Linked DNA regions of Diceros bicornis minor. The protein of the gene in region 1 purifies or fractionates together with the protein of each later gene. This does not show direct contact. Links are inferred from orthologs where the notes say so. Each region holds a gene or a part of one and is shown in the gene's direction. Other genes may lie near its edges.

The links. Proteins that work in one complex are often made in the same cells at the same time.
Region 2: the proteins of VAPA (region 1) and RAB3GAP1 purify together in Homo sapiens (affinity purification with mass spectrometry; 4 studies listed by BioGRID and IntAct, counting the BioPlex papers as one, with this or other methods). This does not show direct contact. The link is inferred for Diceros bicornis minor from reciprocal best matches to the Homo sapiens genes VAPA and RAB3GAP1.
Region 3: the proteins of VAPA (region 1) and RASSF1 purify together in Homo sapiens (co-immunoprecipitation; 3 studies listed by BioGRID and IntAct, counting the BioPlex papers as one, with this or other methods). This does not show direct contact. The link is inferred for Diceros bicornis minor from reciprocal best matches to the Homo sapiens genes VAPA and RASSF1.

Annotation. Positions count from the first base shown.
Region 1 is NC_080755.1:7,896,275-7,900,019, forward strand, and holds the start of VAPA (vesicle-associated membrane protein-associated protein A), read left to right. Parts: upstream 1-819; 5' UTR 820-1,037; coding exon 1,038-1,116; intron 1,117-3,745. UniProt on the Homo sapiens protein: Endoplasmic reticulum (ER)-anchored protein that mediates the formation of contact sites between the ER and endosomes via interaction with FFAT motif-containing proteins such as STARD3 or WDR44.
Region 2 is NC_080749.1:20,666,696-20,670,440, forward strand, and holds the start of RAB3GAP1 (rab3 GTPase-activating protein catalytic subunit), read left to right. Parts: upstream 1-1,161; 5' UTR 1,162-1,185; coding exon 1,186-1,203; intron 1,204-1,301; coding exon 1,302-1,357; intron 1,358-3,745. UniProt on the Homo sapiens protein: Catalytic subunit of the Rab3 GTPase-activating (Rab3GAP) complex composed of RAB3GAP1 and RAB3GAP2, which has GTPase-activating protein (GAP) activity towards various Rab3 subfamily members (RAB3A, RAB3B, RAB3C and RAB3D), RAB5A and RAB43, and guanine nucleotide exchange factor (GEF) activity towards RAB18.
Region 3 is NC_080741.1:51,362,899-51,366,643, reverse strand, and holds the start of RASSF1 (ras association domain-containing protein 1), read left to right. Parts: upstream 1-840; 5' UTR 841-981; coding exon 982-1,231; intron 1,232-3,380; coding exon 3,381-3,487; intron 3,488-3,495; exon of another isoform or gene 3,496-3,745. Other genes in the region: ZMYND10 (zinc finger MYND domain-containing protein 10), read left to right, coding at 97-222, 311-386. UniProt on the Homo sapiens protein: Potential tumor suppressor. Required for death receptor-dependent apoptosis. Mediates activation of STK3/MST2 and STK4/MST1 during Fas-induced apoptosis by preventing their dephosphorylation.

The DNA of each region.
Region 1 (3,745 bases):
TTTATTTCTAGCTTGATACGTGTCTTGTCAGATTTCCCCAACGACGCATCTGCTTCTTAAACAAGGTGTTTCCTCATGTGCTTTTGCATCACTGGAGAGATTCAGGAAGCAGGCGAGGTTGGACTGGAATACGACGGAGAATTTAGCTCCACCATCAGAGGGATGGATAGAATTGGAGAGCAAACTGACAAATCCTGGCATGTTTTCCACAGGGTATATTTTATATTTCTAACCAGGGACCTCGGGTCAGTCTCCGAAACTTTTTGTTTTTCTTTTTTAGCGCAGAAGAGACGCTCTGAGCGCCCAAGGGAGTGTCGGCGCGCCCACCCCATTCGCCTGGCGCAGATCCCATTCGCTCCCACGGACCCGTCCGCCTTCCCGCCCGCCGACAGCCACTAACACCGCTCCCGGCAGCCATCGCGCAGGGCCGCACACGGGCCGGGCGCGCACGGAGCATGCTGGGAGTTGTAGTGAAGGAGCCCAGCCACGCCTTCCTTCTATCAGGCATTCCCGCTCGGAAGATCGTAATGCACTGCCCATAGCGGGTTCTCCAGTTTCCTAATCCAATCTAAACGTGACCGAGGATTGCGCCCTCCTGCCACGAAGCGCGCACCGCGTGGGCCCCACGGAGCTCAGTCCCTCCCCTGTCCCCACCCGATCCCTTGACAGCTGCGCCGCGCTCCGAGCGGCGGCCAGGCCGAAAGCGCGCAGGCGCACCAGCCCGCGCCACGCTGGGCGGGCCGAGCGCAAGCGGCCCCGGCGCCGGGGCGCGCACGTAGGCACGCAGAGGCCGTCACGTGGGGCGCCGAGGATCGCAGTGCGCGTGGCCGCGGCGGCTGGTGTGGGGTTGAGTCAGTTGTGAGACCCGGAGCTGCGGACCCAGCGGGCGGCCCGGCGCCCCGCGAGAGAGCGGCGGGCGTCAGGGTTCGGGAGCCGTGAGCTGGCCCCTCGCAGACCTCGGCCGAGCCGGCGCCGCTGTCCCCCACCCCCAGCCCAAACCGCCGCCGCGGGCGCGCCCCCGCTCTGCGCTGTCTCCAATGGCGTCCGCCTCCGGGGCCATGGCGAAGCACGAGCAGATCCTGGTCCTCGACCCGCCCACAGACCTCAAATTCAAAGGTAGGCAGGCAGAGGGCAGCCCCGGGGGAGCGTGCGGGAGCTCGGCGCCGGGCCGCGGCCCCTCCCCCACGCCCGCACCTCGGCTCGCGGCGGCGTCCCCGGGCCCGGCCCGCTTCCCCCCTCCCTCCCTCGGTGCCGCCCGGTGCCGCCTCGGTGCCCGGGGAGCCGGGGGCCCAGCCCGCCGCCGCCATCTTGCGGGCCCGCGGGCGCCTCCCGGTGCTGCCGCGCTGCCCGCGCCGGCGCTTGTCCTTGGCCCGGGCGGCGGGCGGCGTCCCGGCGGGCGTGGTGGGCGGTGACCGAGGCCTGGCGCTCTGCTCGGCGGGGAGGGGCTCGGGGGGGCGCGAGTGCCGTGGTTCGCCGTCCCGGACTCGGTTCCGAGAGAGGGCCCTCCGGCCCCCGCCCGCGCAGAGCGCTGCTCCCACCTTTTCTCCAGTTGCTAACTTGGCTGTCGGGTCCGTGAGCGCGGGAGGCGGGGAGCCGGGAGGTCCTCCGGTTCTGGCCTAGCCGGGCGTGCGGGCAGAGACCCGCGTGCGGCGGGGCAGCTCGCGGCAGCCGAGGGTTTGTGGTAGGTCACTAGTAGACGGCTTCCTGGGCCTCTGATGGCACAGTTCAGCTCACTTTCCGCCTAGGCCAGAGCTGCTATTCGTCGACCCTTGTTTCGCCCCTTGTCGCTTTGCTTTTTTGCTGCGGAATCTTCACTGTTGGTGATTTCTGCCTTTACGTTTGAGGTTTCCCAATAAGCCCCGGAGAAGGCTGATAGTTGTCACTCAGCTCTGGGACGCCGTCGATTTACTTTGTAGCAATGCCCGTGGTAAATTAATAGTCTGACTTGGTGAGCCTTGAGGAATCTAAGGGGCTGTTTGGCCCATTTGTTTTCGGTATGTAGGGTAGTTTAGGCAAGAGAGTTAAACTGAGCAGGTTTCTGTTTACGAATACTTAAAGTGCGTGAAGATCCTAAATAGAAAGCAGATTTCTCCGTGTCTTCAGTTAAGCATAAAGTGAGTCGCCGTTTGGAAGATTCAGTATCTTGTATTTCAATTTGGGTAGCTATGATGAGAACACTTTGTGAACTGTGTAGCCATTCCAGTGCTTAAAACAAAATAAATCCTTTATTGTTGTACAAGACTGAATCCAAAAGAAAAACACTTAGATTGTTTTCCATAGGAAAAGGTAATAGTTTTAGAAATTTTAAAATAGTATTTTCTGGTATTATGAGTGTATTTTATAGCTCCTTTATTTTGAAAGCTTTTTACTGCATTTGCAGATTTCTTTGAGTGGCATTGTAAATGAGCTGTTTGTTAGGTAAGGATTTAGTTTTAAGACAACCCTAAGAAATAGTTTGAGAGGCATTAAGAGCATTTTAGTGTGGCAAGTTTATGTGTGTGGCATGATTTTACATAATTTTAGCTGAAAGAAAAAAATACACCTTTGGGGAATCATGAAATTACCTAACTTAGCTATTATCTTAGGTTTGAGGAATTTAATGTAAACCTTTATGGTATATGTGTTCTTTTGAGAATTTAAGTACTTTGCTTTTACTTTTTGACAGGCTGTTTTACAGAGGAAATTTCCACTACTGGATAACCATTATCTGGGACTTAGAAGCCTTTAAAACCAGTTTTAGGCCAGGAAATGTCCACAGAGTTTGAAGCTTTCTCCCTAGAGAAGTTGTAATGTTGCTGTAGTAAAAGACTAATAATAGCGGAGAAGCAGGTTAAAAAAACAACCCAAAACCCTACCCAATGACATATCCATATATTTCACCTATTTTAGGTATTGAAAAATTAACTATGATTATAGAATAGGTTCTTGTATTATGGGTGAAAGTAATTCACAAGGCACATTTTTAAAAGTTTGGACATCAATGACCACCTTTTTAAATTGACTTTAAAAAAGTGTTTCGTTGAAAAGTTCCTAGGGGGACACATTCACTTGGGCCATTTATTTAGCGAATACTTTAGCTTTGTGCCATCCCTATATTTGATGAAGAGTATTCAGCAATGAATAATTCATTCAACAGGTATCAGCTTATATTGGGATTCAGTGGTAAACAAGGTGGAGAAAAGATTCACAATTTGTGATTTAATGGGGAAAGCATACAATTAAACAGGAGTAAAATGTGTTAGGTTTTATCTTTGCCCTTGAAGAACTCCGAGACTAGTGAGGGAGACAGAAAAGGCATCTAGATGCTATAACAGAGGCAAACCGAGTATAAGGAAAGAGTCCTTTTCCTCCTCATTCCTCCTGCCAACCCCCTCCCCTTTACTTTAGGAAGCTTTCTGGGAAGAGGCTCCTTTTCAGTTGGGGAGGGGAGAGGGTTTGGCCAGGGAGTGGTTGTGTACTTAGTAACCACTGATGTGAGAGAATGTATGGTTTCTCCTTAAATACCCAGTGGGTTGCTGTGTACTTCTATTTAAAGGTGGGGTAATGGGGAGGACTGGAAAAGAGGAGGGGTAGGATGAGTTAGGAGGTGACATTTGGAGTCATTTGCTTCCTTCCTCCTTAATGTTATTCTTTTAGTTCAAGATAGTTTGCTTTGATGGAAACCTTTCTGTATTCCAGTGCACAGTTCAACACTAAAATGAGGAGACTCATATAGAATCAACAATCTCCTTATGCTTAGTTTGAT
Region 2 (3,745 bases), on another chromosome or scaffold:
CAGTTTCCCTACTAGACTCTGAGTTCCTTGAAGTCAGGGACTAGATCTACAATACATCTTCATATCCCCAGAGCCTAGCATAGTGATTTGCTTATAGTAGGTGTTTAATAAATGCTTGTAAATGAATGAAGGTGTAAGTTGAGACCTCTTGGGAAAGATTGTTGCAGTAGTAACTCACAACCCACCACTAGTGTAGTGGACAGAAACTAGAAAGAACATCAAGAGACAGGGGTTCAAGGCTTGGCACTGGCAATAACCATCTGTTGTCAAATTCTTTTGGTCTTAGTTTCCTCATCTGCCCTATCTATATCACCAAATTTTTGATACCTCTCTTATTTTAAGATTAAATTTTTTATTGCTGAAGCCGAATTCCTTAGTCCTCTACCTCCAAATTCCTTGTTGTGGGTTGAAAAACTCATTAAATGAGATTTAATTTTTAAAAACTTTTAATTATGAAGAATTGCAGACCCAACAGAAGTAGAGAAAATACTATAAACACCCATGTACCCATTACTGGCTTAAACAATTATCCACTCATAGCTAATCTTGTTTTATTTCTAGCCCTACTCACTTCCTCCTCCCATTATTATCAAGCAGATCCTAGACTGGTCTCATATCTGTAAATACTTTAGTATGTATGAAATATAATTATTAACTGCTAGCTGGCACTCTTCTGTTCCTCAATGGCTTAAAAAGTAAAGCGTTCATTGAACAGCATGTTGTTCTTCCCAGAAACCAGATAACTAGCATGATGATTTTATCTCATGACTTAACCAAACTGTGTAAATTCTTTAAGGGGGGATGAGGGAGGGTGGATGTTACAGCACCTAGCTCAGTGCCTTGCAATCAATAAATAGAGGTTGAATGAAAACTCAATGTGCTTTAGGTTTTTTAATACAATCTTATCCACAGGAATATAGGGCCTTGTCTTATCTCCTTTCTTCTGTTCCTTTTCTGAATTCGTTACAGGGAAATTTCAAACTTAAAGCATTTTTTTTTTCATCTAATGATTTTTGCCTAAGAAGACTTTTCCAAGCCGGACACACTAACAGGGGGCGGTGCCTCCGGGGGCGGGGCCGCGCGGAGGCCCCGCCCCCGCCTGCCCTCCGCCCTCCTGTTCCTCCTCCCCTCGCCCTCCCGCTCTCCTTCCCGGCAGCCCTAGAGCCCGCCCCGGCGCTCCTCAAGATGGCGGCCGATAGTGAGGTGAAGTGTTTTCTCCTTATCTATCCCTGTCTCTAAGTTCGCTCCTCCACGTCAGCGCCCCGAGACTCAATCTCTTTCTTTCCTTCCCTTTCCCGCAGCCCGAGTCCGAGGTGTTTGAGATCACGGACTTCACCACTGCCTCGGAATGGGAAAGGTGAGTGAGTCGTGTCGTTGGTTACGGGTGCCTCGGGCCCCGGCGTCCCCCCGCGGCTTCCCCAACATAGACGGTCCACCTGTGACGCCTGTTAAGACTCCTGGGCCCGCAGGCCTCCGCCTCCTCCCCTCTCTGGTCAGCTTGCAGGCCTCTTCTGCGTCTGGCGTCTGACAAGCCCCAGCTCGCCCCCGTCAGCCAAGCCCTGAGACTCCGGCTCTCAGAAAAAGTTTTGTTTACTCTCAGGCCACTTTCCTTAGACCTTGGTTGTTGCCCACTCGCATTTACAATTTCCGTGGCTACCACTTCCGTTCCACTTTTCGTTTCCGTTTAACTCTTTGTTATTCTAAGCAGTAAATTTCGCAGTGCTTTTTTTCCTCCTGTATACGTCGGTATATCCTTCTTAGGAGGAGGCCTTCAGAGCATTGGTGGTTGTCCATCTGCCACACTCCCACCATCTCCATCCTGTCTTTTAGAATAACCTTTTAAAATAGTCTGCATATGGCTTTGGAACGCTTTGATTCAAGTTGTTGCATTTCAGTGGGTCATGTGCCCAGGCTTTCTGTGCCTATCAAACTCCATTGAACAGCTGAGTGAAATCGTTGTGTCATTGAAATTAGTTGAAAGCCAAGTTTGTGGAGGAGTGATAGCTTAGATGAGAAGTATTCTGTTCGGTGGCTCAGAGACCCTTCAGTTTCTGGGTGTTGTGGTCAGGGGTTAGTTTGTTGCAACGTTTTATTATCTTTCTGGTTGGGAGACAAAATCTGTGGATGTCATGTCATTGGTTGACCTAGGAAAATGTAAAAGATCCTTGCTGGAATAATAATTTGACCTGTGATACCCTGCAGAAAAGAAAAGTTGGTGAGACGTAACTACACTGGCAACGCTTTATTGAGCAAGTACTTTGTATCCAGAATTACACTAATGGAAGAGAACAAAAAACAAAAATCTCAATCCATATGTTTAAACAAACAAAACAAAACAGCAAATAGTTAAATTGTAAGTCAAGTGGTACTAACTATAAAAATAGTAGTTTAAATAAGGATGATATTGTTGTGGATTACAATTGTTGGAGATATTTTCACAGAAAAGATAGGAAATGAGTTGGGCCTTGAAAGTGGGAAGTAGTTGGTTAGACATGAGAAGTTACTGACGTGAGAAGAGACAGGTTAAAAATGAACTTTTGGGACTCCAGGAAGAAATGTCTTTACTGGAGTGAAGTCTGTCCATTGAAAGGAAATAAATAAGATTATTAAGGAAGATAGGACCAGGTTATGGGCAGCTTCCAAAGCTGAGTAAAGGAATCTTTAGATTCAGTGTTTTAAGACCAGTGATTCTCCATCTTCATTGTGCATCAGAATCATACTTTCCATTACGTCTGAGGTGGACCGCAAAATTTGCATTTCTAACAAGTTCCCAGGTGATGCAGATGCTGCTGATCAGGACACCTTGCTTAGAAAGAACCATTAAAGAACAATAGTGAGAGACCCTTGATTTTAGAATGGCAAAGTGATATGGTGAGAGTTGTTTCAAGAGATGAGGCAAAATGAAGGCGAGTGACCTACTTTGGTCCATAGTTAGGTTGGTGATTTCGAGATGAGAGAAAATGAGGATAGGAGGGAGGGTTGTAAGACACTTCAAAGGTTTAGATAGATGTGCTTGATGAAGTGTAAAAGTACAAAGAACCAAACATGAAACTGCAGTTTCTTGCCTCAAAGAATGAAGATATGAAAGTGGCAAAGTGAGAAGAGTGCAGTTTTAGACCTGTTGAATTTAGAATAATACCTCACTGTCTTGAAGGTAGTTAGAAAAATGTAACCTGAATCTTGGAGGGTGTCGGTGAGGAAACATCAGAGTATTGACTGGAAAAACGATCACTTTCCCCTAGTTAAATATTTAAAAATCCTGAAGTGGAATATTAAATCCTTTAATTCTTTATTCGGAAATAATTGTTAACACAATTATGAGATCTACCACAAAGTAGGAAATTTGTTTTTTGGCTTTTATGCTCTTGTTTCCAGAGCGAAACTAGTGTTTTACAATTCCTGGGAAAAGGTAAAACTTTGGAGTCTCTTAAACCTTGAGTTTAATGTTTGAATGAAAGTTTTTGTCAGTATGTTATGAGCCATACAGATAGTTTATTGTGAGGAGTGAGTAGAAGCCCATAACTCTTTTTATCGTTTGTCCATTGAAGAAATATTTATTGAGTGCCCATGTGTCGAGCACAATCCAGAGCATTAGGGATGTGGTGGTCAGTAAAAACAGATGATTTTTGCTCTTCCTGAATGTACAGTCTAATGGAAGAAACAGACATGAATTAAGTAATACAAATGAGTCTGTAATTACAATTGAAATAGGAGCTGGCAAGGGAAAGAAACCTGGTCTTGTAAG
Region 3 (3,745 bases), on another chromosome or scaffold:
AGGTGGAAGAGATGCAGAAGGCCTGGACATGGGCAGGGGTGCTCCTGTGCTCCCACTGGCCAGGCCTAGCCAGGCTCTCCCGACCCTTTTTCTCAGGTGGGCTGAGACCTACAGGCTGGACGTGCTAGAGGCAGTAGCTCCAGAGCGGCCCCGCTGTGCCTACTGCAGCACAGAGGCCTCCAAACGCTGTTCACGATGCCAGAATGAGTGGTATTGCTGCAGGTGAGGGCATCCTAGGACCTTGGACCCCTAAGCCCCACTCCCATACCCCCCACAAGCACTGCATCCTCACCAGGCCACCTGCCTGCAGGGAGTGCCAAGTCAAGCACTGGGAGAAGCATAGAAAGGCTTGTGTCCGGACAGCCCAGGGTGACAGAGCCAAGTGAAGGCTGCAGCTGCTGAGGGACAACCACCCATGCGATACAACTCACCTTGAGTGTGCCCCTGAACCTAGGGATCTCAGCCCGGCCTCTGCCAGAGCCCCAGCCTCCCAGGTGGTGAACACAGCCCACAGGGTAGAGCTGCTGCCCCATCTCCCCCAGCAAAGCGCTGCCGGCTTCCTGCCCCACCCGGCGGGTAGGCTGAGGGCGCTGCCTCAGCAACCTAGGGCAGGAGGCCTGGGTGGAGGGCGAGGGCGAGGGCCGGATGTGGGGACCCTCTTCCTCTAGCACTGTAAAGCTGGCCTCCAGAAACATGCCTGTCTCCGAGTGGTCCTTTGCGGTCGTCGTCGTCGTTAGGGGAGGGGAGGAAAGGGAGGGCGGGGACTCTGGGAAAGGCCCCCACCCCGCCCTCCCACCCCACTCCGCCTGCGGGCGGACACAGTCCCGGCGCCCAGGTTTCCATTGCGCCGCTCTCCTCGGCGCTCTCCCGCCGCTGTGCCTGGATCGCTGACGCGGCGCCGCCTCGAGACCGTCCCACGGCCTCGCCCGCTCCGCGCTCGCTCGCGCCCAGAGCCGGCCGGAGTCCGGGCCCGACTGGGCCATGTCCGCTGAACCTGAGCTCATTGAGCTGCGGGAACTGGCACCCGAGAAGCGCGCCGGCCCGGGCCGCACCCGGCTGGAGCGCGCCAACGCGCTGCGCATCGCACCGGGCACAACGCGCAACCAAGCAAGGCAGCTGGTCCCGAGCCGCGGCCACCGCTTCCAGACCGCGGAGCCCGCCACGCACACGTGGTGCGACCTCTGCGGCGACTTCATCTGGGGCGTCGTGCGCAAGGGCCTGCAGTGCGCACGTGAGTAGCGGCCCCCGCGCGCTGGTGAAAGCGAAACGAGCGGCCAAGGGGCAGCACTGTCGCTGCGGGTCAAGTTGCGACGGAGGGGGCAGAAGCAGGGACGGGCCCCGCGAACCAGGTCCGTTATCTTTACCCCATCGCGGAAGTCTTTGGGCAGATGGTTTTATATCCTTGCCGTGCTCCATCTGCGTCTGGGGCACAGCTGGACAGAGGTGGTTGCCTGTGAATAACAAGGTGCAGATTTCAAGGTTCTTACCTTTAAAGTGCCTTTGCCCTTCTTGAGAAAGGCCTACCAGTCTCTGAGTCCATATTCCCAGGCCTGCTCCTTCCTGAAGATTCACTTACCTGTGTCCCCTCCAGAATCCTTGGGGTGAAGGGAATTTACCCACCTATGGGAGGGGTCCTGGAAAAAGAATCTTGGGTGGGCCCTCACAAGCAGGAATTTTGTTGTCTTCATTTAGCAAATACTTACTGCAGGCCCAGTCAACCAGGTGCTAAAACATGAAACACAGCCACACACCAGCAGTCCTTCTGCCCTCCCAGGAATCACCAGCAAGCAGAGGTTGCTCTCCCACTGGCTACACACCAGCTAGAATCACTTGGGATGCTTTTACAGCCCTCCAAACCCCTGTGCCTGGACCCTACCTTAGACCTGTTGAATCAAATCACTGAGTATATGAGTGTATCAGCGATTTTTAAACACAGATCATTCTAATGTGCAGCCTGGGTTGAGAATCATGTTCTGGCCCATGTAGGAGCTTTAGGGAAGGTATCCCAGGCCTGTGTGGGTATGGAGACTCTCTCGTCCAGCAGGGAGTCTGTCCTGAATTCTGGGAGGAGCACAGGAGTTGTGACAGAATACAAAGCATGAACAAGGACTGGGACATTGCAGTGTTCCCAAAGAGAAATAAAGTGGCCATGGAGATGAAAAACAGGACAATTTGGGTGTGTGTCAGGCAAAGACAAGGGAGGACTCAAGGATGAGCTGGGGTTTTTTGCCTTTTGTGTGTGTGTGTGTGAGGAGATCAGCCCTGTGCTAAGCTAACATCTGCCAATCCTCCTCTGTTTTTGCTGAGGAAGACTGGCCCTGGGCTAACATCCATGCCCATCTTCCTCCACTTTATATGGGACGCCGCCACAGCATGGCTTGCCAAGCAGTGCGTCAGTGTGTGCCGGGATCCGAACTGGCGAACACCAGGCCGCTACAGCGGAGCGCACGCACTTAACCACTTGCGCCACCGGGCCAGCCCAAGGGGTTTTTTGCCTTAAACAACTGGAATAATAGCAATTTTTGCTGAGATAAACTCTGGTAAGGGTAGGGTGAGGTGGAAGAAAAATGAGTTAAATTGTGACCATGTTGGGTTGAAATGTCTATTAGACATCCAAGTGAAGATACTGACACACAGATTTGACCTGAGGGGGGAGGTCAGTGATGGAAGCCTTGGATCCGGGGTAGGTGAGTGTACACAGCACAGGGCAGTGATCAGGACTGAGCCTCGGACACTCCACCATTAGATCTGGAAGTTGAGACAGAACCAAAGGAGCTGAGCAGGAGCTGCAGGGAGGTGGGAGGAAAAACTGGGAACCAAGGGGAGCAAGCATCAAACGATGCCCAGGACGTGAAGATGCAAAAGGGACGTGATTCGGCAGTGCAGTAGGTTGCTGAGGATCCGGAGCAGGGCAGTTGCCTGGAGGGAAGGGCAAGCCTGACTGGAACGGGTAGAGGAGAGAGTGAAGGCAAGGAATTAGAGTGTATGCAGACCAGTGTTGATAACTTTTGGCGTGAGGGGAGTAAGACAGATGACAACTAGAGGGGGACATGGGTTAAAGATGTTTGGTTTTTTCCCTTCAAGTACATGGGCGGAGAGGGGGGGGCTGACAATGCGGAAGGGGGAAGTTCTGCCCTAGGCGCTAGTGTTGAGCAGGCCTGGATCCCTAACCGCCTGAAGCCTTCCCGCCAGGTTCCAGACGCCAGGGAACCAACACTAGAATCTGTGTAGCAGTGGGCGGTAACGGGGCCTGAGATAAGGCCGGTCATGCAGAGCTTGGCGGGCAACGGCCTTCCCCCTGGGGCTTCTCTTCCGTCCCCGGGACACTTCTCCGAGCTGGAGCTGGGACTCCTCCACCTCACGGCCAGGCCTCTCTGCAGATTGCAAGTTCACCTGCCACTACCGCTGCCGCGCGCTCGTCCGCCTAGACTGCTGCGGGCCCCGGGACCTGGGCTGGGAACCGGCGCTGGAGCGGGACACAAACGTGGTGAGCGCGGGGCCGGGGGCGTATGGGCGAGGCAGGGACGCGTAGACGAGCAGGCCACACTGCAGGTGTTTCTAGGACCGCCCGGCATTACACGCAATGAGCGTTCTAATAGCGGATTTCCCTGCGGCAGAGAGTGGCTAACTCTGCGCGCGGGTTCGAAGGGGTGCCTGGGGTGCTGACTCCGCTCGAACTGCCCGGAATCTCCCAGGCGCCGCGCCCACGCAATTTCCGCACCTCTCCGCTTCCGGTCTTGTGGCC